Linked DNA regions of Rhinolophus ferrumequinum. The protein of the gene in region 1 interacts with the protein of each later gene in a pairwise test. Links are inferred from orthologs where the notes say so. Each region holds a gene or a part of one and is shown on either strand. Other genes may lie near its edges.

What was found. The genes of interacting proteins can lie anywhere in the genome.
Region 2: the proteins of SF1 (region 1) and DDX17 interact in binary tests that used the Homo sapiens proteins (3 or more experiments, as listed by UniProt). The link is inferred for Rhinolophus ferrumequinum from reciprocal best matches to the Homo sapiens genes SF1 and DDX17.

Annotation. Positions count from the first base shown.
Region 1 is NC_046294.1:6,767,288-6,775,232, reverse strand, and holds the start of SF1 (splicing factor 1), read right to left. Parts: upstream 3,071-7,945; 5' UTR 2,682-3,070; coding exon 2,312-2,681; intron 1,025-2,311; coding exon 896-1,024; intron 1-895. UniProt on the Homo sapiens protein: Necessary for the ATP-dependent first step of spliceosome assembly. Binds to the intron branch point sequence (BPS) 5'-UACUAAC-3' of the pre-mRNA. May act as transcription repressor.
Region 2 is NC_046293.1:8,627,559-8,635,381, forward strand, and holds the start of DDX17 (probable ATP-dependent RNA helicase DDX17), read left to right. Parts: upstream 1-4,759; 5' UTR 4,760-5,073; coding exon 5,074-5,123; intron 5,124-7,823. UniProt on the Homo sapiens protein: As an RNA helicase, unwinds RNA and alters RNA structures through ATP binding and hydrolysis.

The DNA.
Region 1 (7,945 bases):
GGGGATGTTTATTTGGTTAGTAAGAAAATATATATCAAGTGAACTTTTTTGAGACAGCCGCACAAGTACATAAATAAAAGTAAAACTTGTATTAATAACCTTGTATTTTAAAAAAGGAAATTTTAAGGTTAATTTCATTTCCACTGTGGACAGTCATTCTTAATTCTTAAAATTTCCCAACAGTTGAGATCTTTTATCCTAGTAACTTATTCCGTATCCAAGCAATATCCCTTTCCCAGCAGAATTCTTTGAATTCTTTCGTAGTAAATATAAGAGCCCTCATTTTAAGACAGCTCTCCAAAGACCAAACCAGGCAAGATGCTGAAGGAAAGGTTAAAACTCAACGAAATGGTAAGAAGGGGGTGCACTGTAAACACTTCCAGAACCACTTTTTGATTAAAGTGAGTTTTTTTCCTTTCAGAAAGCACCTATAAAAAGTAAAAGACCACATTTTAGGGGAAAGGAGGAATATGAAATTATGGTGCAAGGCCACGCTCTGAAGAAGGTACTTGGTTATGCAACACTTGCAGTGTTCTCCATTGGGGTCGTGTGCAGAGAAGCAGGAGACACTCACCTCATCAACTGGCAATGAACAGCAGCTGAAAAGAGTGGGGTGGGGTGCTGAACTGGGGACTATTCTCACTCCTAAGTGGGCCCCTCTACTTTCCTGGAACTCATGGAGAACACTGCTGTTATACATAGACCAAAACAAGGAGCTGCAAATGCAGGACTCACAGAGCAAAAACTGAAAAATTATGTCAAAATCGTGAAAGCATACCTGACCATATCTCATCTCAAAAAAGAAAACTTTAAAGCCTCCAACTTTCCACAGATAAAATGTTGCTCACAATAGTAACGATCTGAAATTGCACTTGGGTGCAGAACGTGTATTTACCTATATAAGCTCTTTCTTGTTCCCGAGTAAGTCCAGGGGGGATAACTGTAGGCATTCCTGGAATCACGGTCTTCTGTTCCATTGTGTCTTGGTTCCACCGGCTCCTCTTCCGCTTCTTACTTGGGAAGTCTGAAGGCAGATAAACTCCATCAGATGCAAACAAAAACCAGCAGAGTAGCTATCAACAGGCAATTTGGCATATTTGTGACATTAGTCTCAGCAGACTGGGAAACAGAGCTTGACCTACAATGGAAGTGGCGAAGAACAGAAGACCAAGACCAACCTAAAAAAATCAGACACATATGGCCACTACAAGGGGACCTGGACCTGGTTCCGAAAAGTTAACATTTCAGAGAAACTCTGTGAAGTATGTAAACAAGGTAATAAATCTTAATGCATGAAATTTCAGACAGAGAAATAAAAGTATTGACAAAATAAATACTACATCACCCACGAATGCTTTAAAAGCCCCAGGGAAGGTAAGAATAGAATGAATAACCAAACAAATTTGTCAAGTTATATTGGAGGATTGCTGGCCCCTCCCACCTCCACACCCCCACCAGTCACCTTTAGCACAACTAAACCTAGGGCTGGATTCTTCAACAAGATCACTTTTGTCTTCCGAAGTTTAGTCAAGATCAGCATTCAATTTTCCTGGCTATTTGGGAACTTAGTGTCTTGACTACCAAACGTTCAACAAAGAACAAAGTACACAACACTCAAAACCTCCTTCCTCAATACAAAGGCAGAAATCCCCTACATTTAACACACACAAGTTGTTCAGCGTCCCAGGTGGAAGCCCCAACGAGGGGGAGGTATACCAGAATCCTCTAAGGTACATGAAGGAAAGTCAGGCAAAAAACAGAAGCTCCCTCAACAGACACAACAGATTGGACCCCATTAGGCCCTGAAGACTTTCAACCTCTTTTGTTCTCTGTAGTGGAAAAACCCTGCTTTGCAGCCGAAATCGACGAGCTATTTTGGGTACTTTTCTCTCTTTCAGACTCCTCTACCACCAGGAAGAGGATGTTCCACGTCATCACTTGACCCTTTCACACCCTCCTGACCTGCACACCCAACAAACACCCTGTCCACCTACTCGAACCCTTCCACACCTCTCCCCTACACCTGGGGCTAGAGAGCAACAGCGGGCCCCCCAGGTTTGGTCGGGCCGCACACCGCGCCTGCGCACAGCAAACCTCCCGCCCTGATCCGCCCCCCCTTCTCCCAGAGCGCGTGCGCAACACTCTAGGCCCGAAAACCAGGCCGCGCGCCCTGTAGCGCCTCCGCCAGGGCCTCCCCGTGCGCGCGCGCGCCCCTGCCGCGTGCAGCCGCCGCCGTCACCGCTGCCGCGCGCCCCTCCGCCGGCCGGGCCCGTCCGCACGACGCCTCTCGCGCTCTCTCGGCCCGACTCACCTCCTCCGCCGCCGGCCGGGCCCGGCTGCTGGTCCTGACGCGGCGGCTGGGGTGGCAGCGGCGACACGCGCTGGTAGAGCGGCGGCGGAGAGGGCGGCTGCGGCGGCGGGTACGAGGAGCACGGGGAGGGCGGTGGCGGCGGTGGGGGGGGCGGCGGCGGAGGCAGCGCCGCGAACGGGAAGGCCGCGGTCAGGGCCCCCACCGAGCCTACGGGCGGGGGAAGTAGCGGCCTGGGTACCAGCAGTTCCGCCCCAGGTCTGGGGGCAGGCGGTGACCCCGGCTCGAAACCCCCTTTGGGCCCGGGAAGGGAGGGAAGGCCGGGGGGGGGGCCCAGCTTACCCAGCGGCGTGGCGTTTGCTCCGGTCGCCATGGCGCCCCGGGGGACCGGCACCGGCGGCTCCTCGGCGGCGGCTTTTCCTTAGCGAATCTTTCGGGGAGGGGGGGAGGGAGTCGCAGCGCTAGCGCGCGGAACCCGTCCTCTCACGCGGCGGGCGGCGGCGGCGCGAGACGCACAAAGAGGGAGGAGAGAGGCCGCCGCGGGGGCGGGCCGGGGGCGAAGGGGCAGAAGCCTGGATTGGGCCGGGCCGAGGCAAAGGGTCGGAATTGGCAGCCTCCAATTGGCGGAGCTTCAGTCCTTCTCGATGCGCGCTGGGATTGGCCGGACCGTTAGGCCAGGCGAGGAAATGGCGGCCGAGCCTGGCGAGCTGGGAGGTGTCGCAGCGCGCACTTCATTTGTTACTGCGCGAACTGAGCTCGGAGTCCAGAAAGGCGGGGTTAGGGTGGGGCAAACTATGACGTAGGCGCCAAGAGCGCTCTCATTGGCTGCAGTTGATGGAATCAGTCAAACTCGGTTGCATCGTAGTGTCATAGGATTGGCTGTCTCTTGTTCGAGTCTTTTTCCACTCCCCGTCCCTGGGGAGCAGTTTCGATGGGAGTAAGCGAAAGGTCGCTGCGGAAAAGCCACGGCGGTACGAAATTTACGGCGGGGAGGAGTGGAGTAGGAGCGCTCATGCGTAGATGGGTCAAAGCCGCCTCCGCCCCTACCTTCACGGTTGTTCACTGGGTCCGGAGCGGAAAGCCCAAAGTGACGTCAATCCTCGATTCCCATGGTAACACGGAACCGCGGGCTAGGGGTGGGGCCGGCGCGTGCCCGTAAACCGGATCCGTTGACGCCGCAGGTAAAAAAGGACTTCCTGTTTTCTTTGAACAAAAATAAAAAGGGGGGAAAAAGCTATAGTCTAATTGAAGGATTAAAAACACCTGAGCCGATGGAACAACACAATTTTATGTGGAAAAGAACATAAAGTCAATTCTAAAATTAGTTTACACATATGCAATTCCATTAAAGTCTCAGCGGGGTGGTGGTTAATTAAGTCATCTTAAAATCATATAAAATAACTGAAAATAGTGGGCAAACTTGTAAACAAGATTGAGGAGGAGCTGGCCTTTCCAGGTAACACAGTATGAAAGACACAAGAATGATGTAGGAAAGACAGATAAGTGGCACAGAATAAAGTCTGGATATAGATTACCAATATACTGGTAAGAATACCACAAAGGTGGTTTCAGTTCCGTAAGTTTTAGCTAATGGTATGGAATCTTGAATCTAAACCATAAAACAGACAATACAATTTATGAGGCGTAATCTAGGGGTAGAGTTTATGAAGACAGGCAACTCGAACTATAAAGAGAAGATATACTTGATTACCAAAGAAATTCAAAGTGATAAAATTCAAAAGAAAATGTCAGAAAAATATAATTGCCACACGTGATAGAGTTAATATCTTTAATATGAAAGGTCTTCAAAACTAATTTTAAAAAGACAAAATCAATAGGTAACGAGCAAAGACTGAATAGGGAAGTCTTAGAAAAGCAAGAACAAATAGCCAAAAACATGAAAGGATACCAACCCCCTTAGCAGGGAAATGCAAATTAAGGTGATAATGAGCAAACTCTTTATATAACCATTAAAAGAGCTAAAGACAAATGTGCTGACACCTACTACTGTGAAGTTCTTTTTTGGAAAGCATTCTGTTGTCTATTAAAATTGTACCCCTTTCAGGAAAAATAATAACCCTTTCAATGTAGCAATCCCTCTCGTGGGAATCTGCCCCAAAGTAAGGCCTGTGATTATATAATGTAATATATTCTCATGGCAAAAACCTGGAATCAGTTTCCATCCATATGTGAATGGTTGAACAAACTGTAATATCCATAACCTGGAATTAGGCAGCCTTGAAAAGCAGTTAGTTTATACCAACTGACCTACAGGGACTAATGTGCTGTATTTATTCTTAAATGAGGGAAAAAAAGCAAATACGCATTATATGATCTTGTTTTGGTAAAACAAACAAACCCCATATATATGCGTGTGCATGTTTGCAATGATTATATGAGTACAGACAAAGCTATGGTAGGATACACAGCACACGTTATCAGTGAAGACAATGGAGAGGGAAAAGGGTACCTGGAAGTTAATCTGAAACATTTTAAGAACCTAGTGTATTTTTAAAATGTGCTTCATACTTTTTAAAAATGTATGACATGATCCTATTTACATAACATATAAGGAAATGCATTTACAGGACAATCACCAAATTTCCAGTGGTGGTGGGATCTCAGGTAATTTTTCCTTTTTTCCTGTTATTTCTGTATATTATTCTAATTATACTGAACAAGTATTTATATAATAAAATACAAAGCTAATATTGTGGACAGGAAAGCAAAAATATAACGTTTAAATCATACTTTGAAGGAAAAATTAATTTATTTAGTAAATACAACAAATTTTACCGAGGAGCTGAGAAACTCAGTTTCTGCCTTCCAGAAAATCACTCAGGGCTTAAAATCAGATGCCTCCTGATTTTATACAAGGGTGCAGTATAACATATATATAAAACATGTATTATATGTAACATATGTAACATATATATGGAGCATTTGAAATCTTGCTTCCTGGCATGTTGTCAGTTGGCTCAAATAAACTCAGAAATTCTCTGCAGGTTTGGACATTGTTTTTTTCCATTGGGGAATATTGGGAAACTGTGTTTCTCCAGGGCCCATCTGCTCCAAGTCATTGTCCTTCAATCTAGTTGTGGAGGGCGCTGCTCAGCTCCAAGTCCAGTCGCTGTTTTCAATCTTAGTTGCAGGGGGCGTAGCCATCCCCACCATCCCATTGGGGGAATTGAACTGCAAGCTCACGCTCAACCAAGCCATCTGGTCCCGCCTCCGGCAGCTCAGAGGCAGCTCAGTTTCTTCAATCTAATTGTGGAGGGCACAGATCACTGGCCCATGTAGGAATTGAACTGGTAACCCTTTTCAGAGCTCATGCTCTAACCAACCGAGCAATTTGGCTGCCCCAGGTTTGGACATTCTTACATCGACACCAGGAAGCAAGATCTCAACAGACTGAGAAAATGCTCTGGAGAATGACAGTTTTGCAGTTTCTTTTATACATTGGGAATTAAGGAAGAAAGGTAAGGAAGAGTACGTGAAGGTGGGAGAAAGCAAAGCGGGCGTTGTTAAGATTATGTGCTCTCTTGAGGGTGATTACACCTCTGAGGGGTCTGGAAAAGAGGCATTTCAAAGATGTGTTAACCTCGATGCACAAGAATGATGGACAGGGCTGGCTTAAGGCAGAGAAAAACCTTTTAGTAAAGAAGTTATATGACTACCCACTGTGATCTTCCCAGTTAGGAATTTATGATCAGATCACCCTGTGATCAGGTTTGTTACCAAGCCCCTTTTTTGTCCATAGTATTTACTGAGAGAAGTGAAAGTATACAGCCACACAGACAGGTACACAAATGTTTATAGCTTTATTTATAATAGTCCAAAACTGGAAACAGCCCACATGTTCAACAGGTGACTAGCTAAACACTGTGGTACATACACACAGGAGAATACTACTTGGCAATAAAAAAGGAATGACTGTTACATGCAACAACATGAATGAATCTCAATAATGGTGCTCAGTGAAAGAAGCCAGACAAGAACAGAGGACATATTGTATGATTTTATTTATGTAAATTCTGAAAAATGCAAATGCATCTATGGTGACACAAAGCGGATCAATGGTTACGTGGGGATGGGGAGGTGAGGAGAAGCTGGAGGGTGTGATTACAAAGAGCAGAAGAAGCTTTTGGGGATGTCAGAGATGTTTGCTATCTTGATTGTGGTAATGGTTTCACAGGTGTATGTGTCAGTATATTTTTAATAGTACATTTTTAATATATGCAGTTTATTATATGCTGATTATACCTTGATGAAGCTGTTTTTAAAAAGAAACTATAGAAGAAAGCAACTACTGGGAAAGGGATCTGCCCACAGTTCTACACAGAATACTGATTTCACTATCTAGGAAAGGATTATCTTGGCATTATATTTTTTTGCTTTTTTTTTTTTAAGCCATTATCGAGCTTTCATTTTTGAGTGATTACTTTAAAATATTTAAACTTAAATGTTTTATTACATAGTATTTGATACAAACAAAAGGATGTGTGTACCTTATGTGAGTTAGGAATTGAATTATTAATTGAACACCTGTGAACCTACCACCCAGCCTGACAACCAAGATATTACCAATACCTCTGCAAATTCCTGGGGTCCTGTGTTACCCCACTCTCATTCTCCCCCCAGGGACCATCATTTTGAATTTTGTGCTGCTTCTGATCTAATGGAGTTTTTTCACATGTGCATCTATCACCAACTAGAAGTGGTTTAGACTTGCTATCATACTGTGTGTAATTTTATGTAACTTGCTGTTTTAATTTGGCATTACCCAAGATGCATCTGTGTTGTTGCATTTTGTATATTACCATTATTTTCAATCCTCCCAACAGCCCTGCAGGCAGACTTAGGATATGTACCTGGGAAAATGCAGCTCAGCAAGCTCGCCCAGTCCAGGGGCCTGACCCCAGGGCCTCCTCTTCACCACACCACGCTCATTCCTTCCCTCGGAAAGCAAGCCCAAGGGCCTGCTGTGCAGCAAGCAGTGTCCCACTGCTGGACATGCCAGTGAACATGGCCACATTCTCGTGGTGGTTCTCCTTTTGACCCTCACTTAACTGGTGTATGGGCCAGCTCCCCAAACACCCTGAGGTGCCCACGCCTCTTCCACTCACCCACAGGATGGCCGAGAGAAGCTGATATGACCCATCCCGGAAGCTTCCGCCCAGGGAGGGCAATTTGACAGTAGCTATCACAAGGACACACAGGGCCCCCTCTGACACAGCAATGCCACTCCAGGAATTGGCCCTAGAGGACACCTGAATATATAGAGGGGCATTGGCATAAGAATATTTATTGCAGTGTCATTTGTAATATCAAAGTAATAGAAACAACATAAAATTTCATCAATCGGGATCTAATGACAGTAAATTAACGTTATGGGAAATACATACAATGGAATACCACTGACTATAAAACAACAAAGGGGGAGGTACTGATCATGGAAAGCTCTCCAGGGTAGATTTTAAAGACCAAGATGCAAAGTGCGTGTGATTATGTTAGACCATGGTATAAAGAGGGAAGAATGAAACATACAGGACCGCTACATATGCATAAACACTTCAGAAGGCTTCAGAAGTAACTGGGACCTGAGTGGGAGACGTTTCATAGTACCTATTTTGCATT
Region 2 (7,823 bases), on another chromosome or scaffold:
CACATGGTCCTCCTTCCTGTTTGTTGAAAGCAAAGAGCTGGAATTCTCCTAATTTGCAAATGGACATGTTACCAAGGCATTAGGATCATTTACTTTTTTCAAGTCACCAATGTCAGCATTTCTAACTATCCCCGTATTGGGATCTCTGAGATTTTTACTTCCATGGCAAAGTCCGTAGTAAAATTTTGGGTAGAAGAGAAATATTCTTTCATTTATAAAGTGAGAGGGTGCAATTTTAAGCAAATTTCGCAGTCATCTCAATTTTAGAAAGGAGTATATATGAAAGTTCAAGTTCTGGAAATAGATTTCCTGAAAAGTCTCTGCTCCTATGTGTCCCTTGTGTACCACAGTTAAAGGCCACTGCTTCAAGTTACCTTGTTGACTTAAGTACCTCAGGACTCTCAATCTCTTGTATCTAAAGTACAATAAACCAAGCTATCAAAGAACCAAGCTGAGTCCTACCAAGATAGAAGGCAGAGGCATTATGTTTCACATTAGGTGAGTTTAACGACGATGACATTGCAAAGTTGTGACAATGGGACAAGAGAAGGTATGTGTAGAACTTATTATAGTACACGTGGTTTACAGTAAAAGTAGCTTAAAAACAAAGAACTACAGTTTTAAAACTTTAAACAAATGGAAAAATTCTCTTAGTGGTTGGAAATCGAGTCGAGTATAAATTGTACTGCTATAATAACAATAAAACACAGATAAAACGAAAAATGGCAATGGTATTGTTGGCAGGTGGAGTCTGCAGAAAGGAAACCACATCTGCAGGAAAACTGGACAATGGAAAGAGAATGATATTGACCCTGTGATCCCACAGGGAGGTAGCATAGCATAGTGGTCCCAGAGTAGTGGCTGTCAACTGGGGTGGTTCTCAGTGCCCCCTGGGAGACATTGGGCAATGTCTGGAAACATTTTATTGTCACAACTTGGAGGAGGAGGGAGATTCTACTGGCATCTAGTGGGTGGAGTCCAGGAATGCTGCTAAACATCTGCAATGCATAGGATAACCCCCCACAATAAATATCCGGCCCTAAATAGTGCCAAGTCAAAACCTTGCCAGAGCACCTAGGTTTGAGTCCAGCCTATGCTAATTGCTGTGTGATCCTGGGTTAGCACTTAATCTGAGCCTCACATTGTTTTTTAATAAATTTTATTGGGGAATATTGGGGAACAGTGTGTTTCTCCAGGGCCCATCAGCTCTGAGTCGTTGTCCTTCAACCTAGTTGTGGAGGGCGCAGCTCACTGGCCCATGTGGGAATCAAACCAGCAACCCTGTTGTTCAGAGCTCACGCTCTAAACAACTGAGCCATCCAGCCGCCCCAAGCCTCAGCTTTCTTATCTGTAAAGTGGAGAGATGATAACTAACCACTAACATATGTTGAGTGTTATGTGCCAGGCACCCCTCTGAGTGGGGTTTCATTTGCTCCTTCCAAAATCCCTATGAGGTACTGTTATCTCGTTTACAGATGAGAATAAAATAAAAGCTCATAGCACGTGTCTCTCATAGTGAACATGAGAGCACTCAATAGTTTTCAGTCCTTAGGTATTTCTTTTTAAATATTATTTTTTCAGAGCAGTTTTAGGTTTACAGCAAAATTGGGTGGAAAATACAGAGTTTCCCTGTATTCCCTGCCTCTACATACATATAGCTTCCCCCACTATCAACATCCTGTTTCAGTCAATGAAACTACATTGACACATAATCACCCCAAGTCCATAGTTTACATTAGGGTTCACTCTTGGTGGTGTACATTCTATGGGTTTGGACAAATGTGTAATGACATGTACCTACCATTATGGTACCATACAGAATAGTCTCGCTGCCCTTAAAGTCCTCTCTGCTTCACCTGTTCATCCTGTCCTTCGTCCATCCCCTAGCAATCACCGATCTTTATACCATCTCCATAGTTTTGCCTTTTCCAGAATGTCATATACTTGGAATTTTACAACATGTAGCCTTTTCAGATTGGTTTCTTTCACTTAGTCATATGCATTTAAGTTTCCTCCAGGTCTTTTCATGGCTTGATAGCTCATTTCTTTTTCACACTAAAATTTCATTGCCTGAATGTACCACAATTTATCCGTTTACCTACTGAAGGACATCTTGGTTGCTTCCAAGTTTTGGCAATTATAGTAAAACTGCTATAAATATCTTTGTGCAGGTTTTTGTGTGGACATAAATTTTCACATCTTTTGGTAAATACCAAAGAATGTGATTGCTGGATCATATGATATGGTAAGGTATGGTTAGGTTTTCAAAAAAAGGATGAATTGAGCAAAGCACATTTTCATTTTTACCAAGTCTTAGCTGTTACTAATGAAATGTCTCAGTTCTCTGGCTGCCCTATTTAATGAAAATCTCCCTCTATGTTTAGAAAAATGTAATAAGTTTCAACCATCTTTGGTAGGAAAACACAGAGATACAGCAAATAATGAGAAATGCATACTATGGATTCACTTTATATTCAGAAACTTGACTGCCAGAGGAAGACTGTAAGTTCACTTTTTTTTTGGAGGGCAAAAAAATAATGACATAAATATATAGTTATGTACTATGAGAAGCTTTCTGAAGATAAAGGAGTTATGAGATGCTATAAAACAGGGACCTGATCTAGTAGCAATATATGAATTATTTTCCCCTGCAAAATTTAGGGGGGTTTTCGATGGACCTAATTTACTTTATATAAGTTATTTATTATTATATAGAGAGCCTCAGATTTAATTACTTAGCATATAGGATAGACAAACCAGTCCAAATAACTCTCTCAGTGCTATACAGTCTAAATCCCAGTAGGAGCTTAATTGTTGGCCAATTCCTACAAGAGTCATCCTTGACTCTTCTTTCTTTCGTGCTCCACCCATCATTAAATCAGTAGCTTGATTTTCAGTCAGGCCATTTCTCCCTTACTGGTTGCTATTAACCCATGCCAAGCCCCATCATCCCTTGCTGGATTATTGCACTAACCTAATTAATCTGCCTGCTTCTGTCCTAGCTCACTCTCAATTTATTCCCCGTACTGCAGCCATAGGGGTCCATTTATTATGTCACCCTGCTTAAAACCTTCTAGACATATCCAATTTACTGAAAGGAAAAAACGAAGTCCTTACCGCAGCCAACAAGCCCTTTAAGATCTGGCCCTCTCTTTCCTCCTTGCGCTACTCCAGCCACATTCTGCCTCAGGGCCTTTGCACTTGCTCATTTCTGTATGTCAGCAAGGCTAGCTCCCTCCCTTGAGGTCTCTGCTCAGATGTCACTTGATCAGGGAGGCACGGGTATACACTCCCTCCTACAGACACACATACCTCTATCCCTTTTCCCCCCCGCTTCATTTTTTTTCTTTTTATTTTAGTTAGCAACCCTGACATAAACATTTATTGTCTGTCTTCCCCACTAGAGTGTGAACTCCAGGAGTGTAGTAACTCATTTGTTCACTGCTGTGCACCAGTTCCTAGCACAGTGCTTGGGCCTATTAGGCATTCAACACTTGTTCAATTAATCTGATTACTCATCGGCATTTGTGGCCCAAGAGACATCTGAACAGCTTGTCACGAAGATCCTTTCCTTATGCTACTTTTGTAATAATTTGGGAAACACTCAGAGCACAGAGTAGGAGACACCAGTCAGCCCCTACCATAAGGGACCTCAAATCTCCCCCACTTATACCCATATGTAGAAATAAATAAGACATGGTTAAACAGCTGCTCTTCTGAGGCCCTAACAGCTCAGCTCAACGATTCCGTGACGCTGTCAGGCCAAGCTTCTGAGACTTTAAAGTGTAGTTTGAGGGAGAAGGAAGCAGGCAGGGAGAGGGAAGCCAGATTAGAAGGAATTAAGGACACGGCCTAGGCTGGTTACAAACATGACTTATGCCTTCACCTTTTCTGTGTCTGCAGACCACCGCTTTTAAACCGTTCTGTTCCTCTCGGGAGAGCGCTAAGGGGCTGCCATGGGCCTCATGAGGCAGCGCCCGCTTAAGGGCGGTCAAGGGATCTCAGCGTCTACCTTAAGGGCTCCACCCACATTTTGGTTCTTTGTTAGCCAGCTGTGCTCAGCAGGGGACAGTGTAAATATTGTTGAGAACGTGCACTTTAGTGTGACTAAGTGTAGCAGAGTGCTTTAACCCAGGTGAGACGTCGCCACCTGACCAAAACCCGAAAGAAGGGACAAGGAACATCTATCATGGCTGCCGGCGCCGGCACAGCGAGAAGCAACCGAAAAGAAATGGCGCCGGGGCGCGCGGCCAGTCTAGGGGCCCAGGGCGGCGGGGCCAGAGCGCCCGCCAGGGACCTTAAAGACCCTCCTGGGCGTTTGGCACCTGGAGACCCTGAAACTTGACTGCAGAATGAAGGACAGTTATTGTCTGGGCAAAGCAACTTGCACAAGAAGACCGGGTTCCGTCCCGCGGTCGAACCCGGCAAAATCCTCTATTCTCCAAACAGAAGGCGTTACGCACACTGCGCATCTTCGCAACAGTGGGTCAGCTAACGACGCAAAGAATGTTACGTCGCGCCGGAGGCTCACCACCCCCCACCCCCACCCCACGTTCTAGTTTAGGCGACGCGAGAACTACGCCCGATCCGTACTTTGTTTTTCTTCTACCAACCGCAAAATGCGTCCATCTCCGCAACTGACGAAAAATGCTTCCAAGAATACCCGTAGTACTCCGCAAAGCCCTCCGGCGACTCCGACACGCTGTTTACGTATGGGCTCCGACGTACGTAGCGTTAAGCTGGAGCAGTCTCAGCTCCGGCCGCCATTTTGTGCAGTCGCTGGGAAGGAAGGAGACGCCTAAACCGCGGCACTGCCGGGTTTGAGCGTAGCCAAACCTGCCCACTGATTTTATAACCCCGATTCTCTGTGTTTTGCTCCCGTCTCCGACGAGAGAGGCGGCGACGGTGGCGTCTGCGACGGGAGACAGCGCGTCGGAGCGAGAGAGCGCCGCGCCTGCCGCCGCCCCAACAGCGGAGGCGCCGCCGCCATCGGTCGTCACCAGACCGGAGCCGCAGGCCCTCCCGAGCCCGGCCATCCGTGCCCCGCTCCCAGATCTCTATCCATTTGGGACCATGCGCGGAGGCGGCTTTGGGGACCGGGACCGGGATCGTGACCGTGGAGGGTAAGGGAGGAGGGGGAGAGGAGAGGCCTTGTGTGTGCATGGGGGTGGGGGGGCTGCTTCAAGAGGAGACCGCCGCCTGCGGGAGAGCGGGAGACTTGGAGCAGAACGCAGGCCTGCGAACAACGCTCCCGACTCGGGGAGGCGAGGCGACCCGGGACATAATAGCGATTTAGAGCACAGGCCTTTGGGTGGGCCTGGGCCCCGAAGTCACTGATGACCTGGCAGGGGGGTGGTAGCTTGGCGACGCCCCAACTCCTCCTTGCGGACGGCGGTCGTAGCGCCGCACGGCCCCAGCCTCGCGGGGAGCGGGAGCGGGAGGGGGATGGCCCGGCCATCGCAGACCCCATCCGGGCCTCGCCTCGCCTCGCTTGGCGACTCTTGGAGCCTGGCGGATTTGAGCAACTCACTTGATGTCTCCGGGCTTCAGCGTTTATCTGTGAAACACGGGTGTTTTTGTTGAGAAGAGGATGGAGGTCTCTGAGTTCAGTCTAGGAAAAGCTTAACGCGAAATGGCTTCCCTTATGTTATCTATAGCCAGAGATCACTGTTAGTCTCCAGTTTCTGAAACTGGAGACTAATTAAAAGTCTGGGTTTTAGTTTTAAAAACGTTTTCAAATTCCTTCAGTCGTATTTAAATGGAAGGACGCACATTGGAACATAAAGCAATGGAATTACCATCCAAATGGCTGTATTTGGGGAGGGAGGGTTTTGGGGTTTTTTCCAAGTTTCGGTCTTATTTTTATTTTCTCTATAAGCGGACTGGAGCGTTAACTTCTCGGCCTATCTAGAAAGTTTTTGATGCAGTTAGGCCATGGTTAACAGGGTTGGCAATTGACAGCATTAAAACAAGTTCTCCCACATACTGAGATTCAAATCTTAATGTCGGTTAAACTAATAAGTTGCTTATGATACAGATCCATGTCGATTTGTGCTGTTAACTTTTTGTAATAAAAGTTTTATCTCTTGGATGAAAAGTAATGTGACGCCACTTCTTAATGTGTGTGTGACCTTGGGCAAAATCCTAAACTGTTGTGAGTCTATTTTCTCATCTGAAAATGGGGATAATAATTGTCTGTATTTTGTATTGTTCTCGGGAATTTGAGAGAATGCATGTAATTGTCTCTGTACTAGGTGTTGTTAATATTTTCTCCAAACATTTCCAAATATTTTCTTTTGTTCAGGTATACAAGTATCAGATCTACTAGTCACAAGCACCTCAATTATCACTTAATTTACAAAATAAAAAAATTATTTTGATTTATACCTTGGTAGGAAGGAAAATGTTTTATCTTGGTGTTAAGTTTGGAGGACTAGAAGTGGAATGTTTGCTTAGTGTTTCACAGTATAGCCAAATTTAGAAGTGAATTTCAATACAACTGCTTAGGGAAAAGAAATTAAGGTTATCTAGTAAAGTCAAAAATGACCCAGTAATTCTTCTCTGAAACTTTATGCCCTAGACTCTAAGGCCTAGAGAAACTCTTGGACTTGTGCCCCCGCATTCATATACAGAGATGTTTATACCAGCATCGTTCATGACAGTATTGGAAACAACCCAAATGTCTGGATAAATTATGGATATTCATATAGTAGAATGCAGTACAACAGTGAAAAAAAAAAGCTTGCATCAACATGGATGACTCACAATATTGAATGAAAAAGCAAATTGTGGTGGGGTAATGCATATAAGGATACCTACAAATGTGACAAAATTATAAATAAAGCATGGGAATGGTTCAAGTTTGAGGTAGTTATAGTGGGGGTTGTAAACATGAGGTATGTAGAGGCCACTAAGATACTAATAATTTATTTCTTTAGCACAGGCGTTTGACTTAATATTCCATAGAATACATGCTTTAATAATAAAACTTTAAAGAGAGAAATAAGTGAATTTTATTGATTCATACTTAGTTTATCCCATATTGATTTTAGTACCAGATGACACTTTTTAAAAAGTTTTAAAAATTATTAAAATGACACCCTTGCATAAGGTCTGTGCCCTGACTCTACCTTTACTATGAAATTTACTTTGTTTTGAATTGCTATTGTTTTGTCCGTAACTGAATGTTACAGCTGAAATGGATTAATATCTTGAAAAGGCAATAAGTGAGATCAGTGTATGTACCGATAGTCCAAAAATGTACGTTGTTCATTTAAACTGGTTTGATTTTGCATGTTAATACATGAATCTTCAAAGCTGTGTTTATTGCAAAGCCAAATTAAACTTAATACTCAATAAAAATATTTTGATGGATAGCATAATATGCTAGGGATTAGGATTACACACATCTTTAAAGGATGGCACGAATGTGCTCAAAAATTCTAAGAGTAAAAGGCTCTCTTGAATATTGAAGTCAGCATATTTATAAAGAACCCCATGTTTCAAATTACATCTTTAGTGTAGGATAGTATGTCTTGGATAATCAGCCAAAGCAACATAGAGAAAGGAAAAAAATATTTTTTTAATTAAGGGCTACTTTGAATAAGTCTAAAAAGGAACCTTTGAAAAGTTCTGTTTTCTTCTAGATCGTTATTAAGGTCTGGGTAGCATTAGAATGCAGTAGCAGTGTTGAAATGGCACCTTCTAGGAACCACATTAATTGATACAAACTAGACAATCTCTAGAAATTGGTCTTTGGTCATTTTTATTTTCTTTGCAGGACTCTCTAGAGACTTGGCTTTTCTGTTACTTAAAATTATGTT